2 linked regions of the Solanum lycopersicum genome follow. Each later gene encodes a partner of the first gene's protein in a complex. Links are inferred from orthologs where the notes say so. Each region holds a gene or a part of one and is shown in the gene's direction. Other genes may lie near its edges.

Region 1 (3,513 bases):
GAACCAAAAACATGGTATTTAAGTGGAAGAGGGTAGAGGGGTGGACCCAATATCCTCCAAATTTTGGATTGTGTGCCAGCTGGTCATCAGGGATATCTTGGTTACAATATTTTTTTTATTGTTGTTGTCACAATGGAAATTGATATTGTTGAACTCTATTTGACGAGAAAAAATTAATTGACTTCTATTTTTTTTTTCTTGACAAAAGGTAACAGAATTGACCTCTATTTCTTTCATAATCTTAATCATTTCCTATCTAATTATTTTACTGGCCTAATGCATAGGCAGCCCCTAAACTTGGCAGGATATTTCAGTTAGAGACCTCAACTAAAGACTCGACCTATTTAATACCTGAATAATACTGAAAATGTTCCGATTGAACACATATTTTCTTATTCTAGACAACATAAAATGCATGAATGCAACTCGCTATGGCAGAAGCAACCAATAATACAAAAGCAGGTTAGCAAAGGGAAAAAAGTCAAGATCTGAAAAGAAAAAAAAGAAAGAAAATGAGTTGAGTGAATGAAGCTCCGGTGCTCTCCCTTTCTGACAAAGTCACAAATCTGTTGAGTTCAAAGGAATGTTTAAAGATTTTTTTGACAGCTTAGACAGCAGCTACCAATTGTCGGATAAAACTCTGTTTAAATTCAGCCATTTTGAACCATGGGATGGTCTTCAAAACTCAAAAATCTTCTCTGTTGACAAGTTGCTTGTTGGAAAAACTGGTACTTTCGGCTATTTTGGAAACCTGGAAGTGATGGAATCTACTACGTCAAATCTGCATACAACTACCAGAATAGGGAAAATGCACATTTGACCCGTCGCCATGGAAGTTCATCTGGAAGACCAAGGCCCCTTACAAAGTCTGCTGTTTTTCTTGGCTTGTAGCAAGAAAAGCATGTCTCACTCAGGAAACTTCAAGAAGGGGATTTCATCTATACTCTGGATGTCGCATGTGTGGTGAAGCCAGAGAAAATAATAGTCGTCCATTTCTACATTGACCTAACTCCTCTAGATGGACAATCGTGGCAACTTTTTTTGAACTTGGTAGGACTAAGATGGTCTATGCTAGCAACAAGCTGTGATATATTGAAGTGCTGGAACTATGATGGTAGTGCAGTGTGACAAAAGAAGTGGTGGAAACTTGTCCCAACTTGTATACGGTGGACAATTTGGAAGGAGAGGAGATATAGAATTTTGAAAGACTAAAACAGTTCTGTGCAGAGAGTCAAGATGAATGGTATTTTTTTTGTTTCATTTTTGGTGGAAAGAAACTATGTAGAGAGGTTCAAAACTCAGCGGAGACAAAAAACAGTAGGTGATTCTTCCGATATATTCTAGCCTTGGTGGACATAGTTACCTTGTACCTGGTGGGAGATGACAAATATCCTGTTGAATTAGTTGAGGTGCGGACACCATAGTCATAAAAAAACTATGTAGAGGAGACTGAATCAATAGTTGTCATGATAAGTTCCTTCTGAAAGGGTAGTCTTAAGCAAGCTTGGGTTTTTGTAATTGTAAGAAGCACTTTTATGGTGCATATCTAGTATGTATTTATATACACAGGGTCACACACATGTTACAAGTTTCAAAAAAATGCAACTCAAGCTCTTCCATTTGGTAACCCTCCCACAAAACTTAATGTGTTTTTACCATGGAACTTTTTGAATCTTGAAAATCCTTTTTCTCAGCAAGCTTCGATCGGATGATATGTCCATTCCTGTCCTGCTGAGAAATCACCTATTAGCCATCTTCTTTCGTACTCTCTTAACAACCCTCACCCATACAGGAAAATCATGTCTGTCCCAGCATGTATCTGGTGGACAATCTGGAGAGAGAGAAACAATAGATGTTTTGAGAGCAAAAGTTGTGATCTTCAGAAGATCAAATTGAACCGTATCAAACTTTCTTGTTTCTGGTGCAAACAGATGTACCTAGACGACACTGGGTCAATTATTGAGATCCTTGGCTCTATTTAGATTTTAGATTCAGATATCCTGTTTTATTGAGAAGTTGTAATTATGGTTTTTAGTACAACCTACTTAGAATAGGAACAGGTATAGAAATAGTATATAGAATCCTACTTGGAAAAGGATTATAATGTAGTGTCCTAGTTAGAAAATGAGTCTAATGTAGATAGGGTCTCAATGTAATAATGTAGACGCACAATTCAATAATATTCTTCTCCTATATGTCTCACATCCACCATCTGCAGTTACCACTGTTGCCAGTTTGAACTTTGACATGTGCCTTTATGCAGGTTATATTGAGCCTGTAATGGTTATCCTTCATGAAAGGGAACTCACTTGGTCTGGGCGCGTCTCTTGGAAACACCATACTTGTATGGTCTCTGCCTTTAGTATTAGTACAACGTTGAAGCAGCATCCACTGATATGGTCAGCCACTGTAAGTTACAATGATCTTTGTTGCCAGCATTATTTATATATATTCTTATTAGCTTGAAGGAGAGAGAGAGAAGAGGCAACAAAGAAAGGAGATCACTCCAGTAAGAGCTATTTCTTGATGATGACTGTATCACAGTTCTTTCTATTTTGGGGTTTGGTTTGGTGAGGGAAATAAGGTCAAGAATGCTGCTTAAGTTAAGAAGTTCTATCCTTCCGTTTCATTGAGGTATCACTGTAATTACACTTGATGACAACCTTTAGCTGATGAGCTCATATACTAATTCTGGTCTTGTTTGTCTTCCTTCTTTATTGTGTTTTCTTTTTTGTCAGTCAAATTACAATTATTTCCCTCAAAATATTTTCCTCATATCAACAACCTAATAGAAGAGCTTTTGAAGGTATAGAGATGGACTTTCTAAAATTGAGCAGTAGTCTCTTATCCCTAATTTCTTTTTGGTGCATCCGTGGAGTACCAGTTTGTGTAGAAGATTGGTGAAGTTTGTAGAAAACCATTTTGTTTTGTAGTTTTCTACATTTTGGAATACCTTTGGTATACATGCTTTTTTTTTCCACCCAAATGTTAATACAACTTGTTACCTTGTCAAAAAACAAAAGAAAACAACCTAAACCCGGAGTAACTTTGTTGTTGCCACTGATTAGTCATTTCCTGTGGGGCAAATATTTCTCATCTTTTGTTTCCTGCAGTACAAACCACATTACTTAACAAAAGAACCAAGAATTTATTTTATTTTGATTTGTTTGCTTTTTTTTGTTAAGTCTGTTAAACAGTAATTTTGAGCTTAAGGTTCTATAGTGTGGAGCACAAGATGTTTCAAGCATGGCCTCGGTAATGAAAATGTGATTCCAACTTATCACGAGAGAGTTGATTTGGTGGACAGCGGGTACTAAAAGGCTGATGATTCAAATATATATCATGAAATTTCAATAAAAAAATTTGACGAGAATAATGCAAAAGTACTTTACCTCTTTAAAGGGGTCGTTTGTATGCGGGATAGGATAAGCTAGGATACCCCATGTGATTATTTTATCCCACCGTCTATATGGGATAGCAATCCCATCATTTTAGAAAAAAGGGGGGTTACCA
Region 2 (4,257 bases), on another chromosome or scaffold:
TTTCCTCTGATTCAATGTTTACAGCTTTCCTCTTTCTTCTTCCTTGTACTATTCGTTTTTTCCTTTGGTCTAAGCTCTTCCATTGTGTGTTCTTGTATAACTTGATTTGATTTTCCCAATGATCCTACATCAAACCCAAAATCTTGAGTTAACCCCATTGAAAACGATGGTACAATGTCAACAACATTGACATGCAAAGGGATACCTCTGGTAATCCTCAAAGATGAATATGATTCATTCATTGTGTGACCAATTTTAGATCTATCACGAACAAAAAATCGATTATTTCATCAAAATATATGGAAAAAAATAAACAGAATACATATACAAATTTTGAATAAGTAAAAAGAAAAGAAAAGAGGTAAACAACTAAAATTAAGGAGTACTTACGAAATTGACTTCAACTTCGGGAGGGAGTAATCTAATTTTGGACAACGATTTGAATTTCAAACTGGATAGTTGGAGTATTAAATGTAGGAGAAAAATTTGGAATGTGAAAAGGAGAGAGGAAATTGTTTTGTGTATAATTATATACAAAATTAGAAAATAATGTTTTTATACCATTGGTTATATAATAGGTTGTGGACCCCATTAAATATAACAAACAAAAATAAACTATAATTATATAAGGTAAATAAATTAAACTATACCCCTATAATATAATTAGCTATTAGTGTTTGCCATCCCATGTAATTTTCCCAATACAATAAGCTTAATATTTTTATTTAGATATTACACTTTTACTTGAAAAAGAACTTGATAAATATTATAAAGATAATTTTATTTGTAGATTTAATTAACAAGTAATAATATTAACATCATGTAATACGTTCTGTCAATATTTATAATTATATTTTTAAATTATAATTTAATTTAATAATTATAAAAAAATATAATTTTTAGAAAAGTGGACTAACCTGACAAGCATGTAGTCCACGTACTTGTGGGCTGGGCAGACCATTTTTTGACTCACAGAAAAAATAGACTAGCACGATTTGACCAATAAAATATCAAAATCTATATAAATTAACCCAAATGAGGTGAACTAATCCATATTGATAGCTCTACCACTAACTATTTACAATTTCAACATTATCATCAATTACAAATGCATAAAACAATTTCAACATTATCATCAATTACAAATGCATAAAAATTTAAGAGTTTATATATTGTAATTAAAATTAAGATGTCTGAAATTAAATGCGTATCTTAAATATGAAGATATGATAATGGTATTTGTTATTAAAGCATTTGAATATATATAATTTCTAAATATTTAAATACAGTAAATATATTTATTTTTTGCTGAACAAATATAATTGAATGTATTTTATTTAAATAAAACAATACTCCAACTAAATATTTTATCAAAAAATATTAGAGAAAATTTTACTCTGGAAAAAACAAAATAGACATTAGAGAAAAACCTGAATAAAATAAAATAGACACACACTTTTTAAGTACTCTTGAGATTTTAGTAAATTTTTTCCGATATTACCCTCAATCAACAAAGAGCCCTAACTTCTTCTTGTTTTTCCCTCCCATCCTTCACCTGCGTTGTTCCTCTGCGATTTCAGTAAGTTTTTCTCTCTGCATTTTTTGTATGCGTTTTGATCACCTTCTAGGTTTATCTGTTTTTTTTTCCATCCGCTTCTTTAATTTTTAATTTGCTTTGGTTTCTGCTCAAATATTCAAAAAAAAAATCAAAAAAACGAGTGTTTTCAAATGTTGATATGATTGAATTGTTCGGATGTTGTTGTTTATAGTTGCATTTTTCTGCTTCGTTTTTTCGAATAAGTGCTATTAATTATTTTTTTTATCAGTTAATACTGTAAAAGAGCTGATGATTCTTAATTGATGCGACAGTGGGGGAGTAGTATTTTTTGTGATTTCCTTTTGGTGTAAAATAGAACTTGTAAATGAAGCTGAGTCCATTTATAGTTCATAAATTTACTGCATGCATAGTCAGGGATCTTTTGGGTTTTCGATGTAATGTTCTGCGCAATCTTTGTGCTTTCCTTTGTGTAATATATGTAGCATTTCAATAAAACAAACTTTATGCCGTGAGCTGAAGGAGGCTTGTGAAGACCTTAAAGACTCTTTATAACCTCCTTTAGCATTTAAAATCAAGGTTACTACATGACTTGACAATGTACTTGCTTAGTTGCTTAATACACTAGTTACACTAGCAATGCTATGTCGATTTTCTGCCGAAAATGTTTTACTATATGAAGCTGACTTGTAACTCCGTATTCGAGCTCTTTATGAAATAGTACATTTTCAAAATAAATGAAATGTAGTAGAAATCTCAGTTATTTTATTTGAAGTAATACACCCCCAAAAAGTTGGTTCTTGATATAATATGTTTTTGCACTTAATCAAGGTGCGGGAAAACTGGCCCAAATACCACATATTTTTTTGTCTTTTGCAATCTGGGTAGCTGTGTTGGCTTGGTATCGAGGATTGGTATAGCTGACAATGAATTTTGGATAGATGCTTAGTTGATGAATTTATTGATATTTACTGTTTGGTCTGGTCATAATGAAGCTGAATGATGGTTTAACCAGATAATTTTTTGGATTTCTTTTGGTATTTTCTCTTGCACGATGATTAGAATTTTCTAAATCTAATTATTTGTTATTTGAGTGTCAGAATGGCATCTACGGGACAGCCACAGTCTTCGTTAAAGAGACCTAGTCCTGGAGTTAATAGAGACGGAGATAAACTGGTTATCACCCCTTTAGGGGCTGGAAATGAAGTGGGACGGTCCTGTGTTTTCATGACTTTTAAAGGGAAAACAATCATGGTAGGCTTTGTCGTTCTTCTACGAAAAATATTTTCTTGGCCACAAGATCTGAACTTGATTAATTACTTTTGATGTTTTTTGCAGTTTGATTGTGGCATACATCCGGGTTACTCAGGCATGTCTGCCTTACCATATTTTGATGAAATTGATCCTTCATCTATTGATGTTCTTCTTGTTACCCAGTAAGTTTTCTGTGCCAGATCTCAGTTATATGATGCTTGTTTTATTGTTTGGGATATTGTATCTCAATTGGACACTGCAGCACAAGTTTTTCTCTTTTCTTTTTCCAAGCATCATTTGATGACTGGCTACCAATTTCTATTTCGTTTTCTTCATTTTGATTTCTTTCTTGGTGGGCAATTTTAAATGTTGATATCTTGGTGTACTGCTTTAAATGTTGAGTGTTAGATGCATTTCCATAATTTTGGTCCAGATTGGATTAGTTTCTCTATATTAAGAGTTAAGACGTTATTTCTCTTATCTCTGCTTCTCAACTTGTCTGTGCGAATGTCTGAGGAAGAGAAGACATGTTCAGGTAGTATCTATTATAGGAATGTGAAACATTATGCTGATTATCCTTTTGATTATTGATCCAAGCAAAACACCAGGCGATTCTTTCCATCTGTTCCTAGCTTTGGTGGACAAAATTACCTGGTATCTTTTGTGGGTGGAACATGACAGGTATCCCGTCGTACTAGGCTCTCATACCACGGTCATAAAAATTAAAAAAAATAAGTAATAATAGAAGACCAGGAGGAAAGAAGAAGTGAATGTTTGTATGAGGAAATTTTCTTTCACATTTAGAGGTATAAATCCATACTAAGACTGAAAGTTTTTGAACGAACACAACCCTTCATATAAGAAGTTATCGGTGCATTTGCAACCTTTGTAAGGATGCGTCATTTTGTTTGCCCTTTTCGATAAGGACAGGGTTTTGTTTTTTAAATAAGGTATTTTTAGGCTTTAAAAGGATCTTTTGATAATTTTACTTTCAAGTTTAGGAGTCATGCTTTTAATACAACATACATGTTGGATGGGCACAAATATCTATTGGTTTGAAGTACTTAGTTGACTCGTTTATAAATGGTTCAGACAGGGAACAGATGCATCAAAGTCATTGAAGAGTGATTAAAAGGAATGGCCATAGTTAGAGAAAAAGAATCTTGGATCACAATTCTTCTAAGTGTTGCCCACCCGGCCAATTGCTAAACATATCTTTCTGTTATTGAGTACAAAATTGTGGGTTTGATTATTCTTATATATTTGTTAAGGTTAACATTTTTTAGATATGCAACATCACTTTGAATCTGCTGATGAAGCTTTACAAAAAGTGCAAGGCACTGAGCAGACCGGTGATATAATTTGTGTCATTTACAGAAGAAAGTCTGCACGAAAAGGCTAACAAAAAAAGGTTCTATTCTTAAGGCTGATTAGGTTGTTCCTTTTGC

What was found.
Region 2: cleavage and polyadenylation specificity factor subunit 1 (region 1) and cleavage and polyadenylation specificity factor subunit 3-I share a complex: the UniProt entries of both Arabidopsis thaliana proteins name them as parts of the CPSF complex. The link is inferred for Solanum lycopersicum from reciprocal best matches to the Arabidopsis thaliana genes CPSF160 and CPSF73-I.

The regions. Positions count from the first base shown.
Region 1 is NC_090802.1:2,563,874-2,567,386, reverse strand, and holds part of cleavage and polyadenylation specificity factor subunit 1, read left to right. Parts: intron 1-2,263; coding exon 2,264-2,409; intron 2,410-3,513. UniProt on the Arabidopsis thaliana protein: CPSF plays a key role in pre-mRNA 3'-end formation, recognizing the AAUAAA signal sequence and interacting with poly(A)polymerase and other factors to bring about cleavage and poly(A) addition.
Region 2 is NC_090806.1:62,060,111-62,064,367, forward strand, and holds the start of cleavage and polyadenylation specificity factor subunit 3-I, read left to right. Parts: upstream 1-1,450; 5' UTR 1,451-1,579; intron 1,580-2,649; exon of another isoform or gene 2,650-2,655; 5' UTR 2,656-2,656; coding exon 2,657-2,809; intron 2,810-2,893; coding exon 2,894-2,991; intron 2,992-4,257. UniProt on the Arabidopsis thaliana protein: Component of the cleavage and polyadenylation specificity factor (CPSF) complex that play a key role in pre-mRNA 3'-end formation, recognizing the AAUAAA signal sequence and interacting with poly(A) polymerase and other factors to bring about cleavage and poly(A) addition.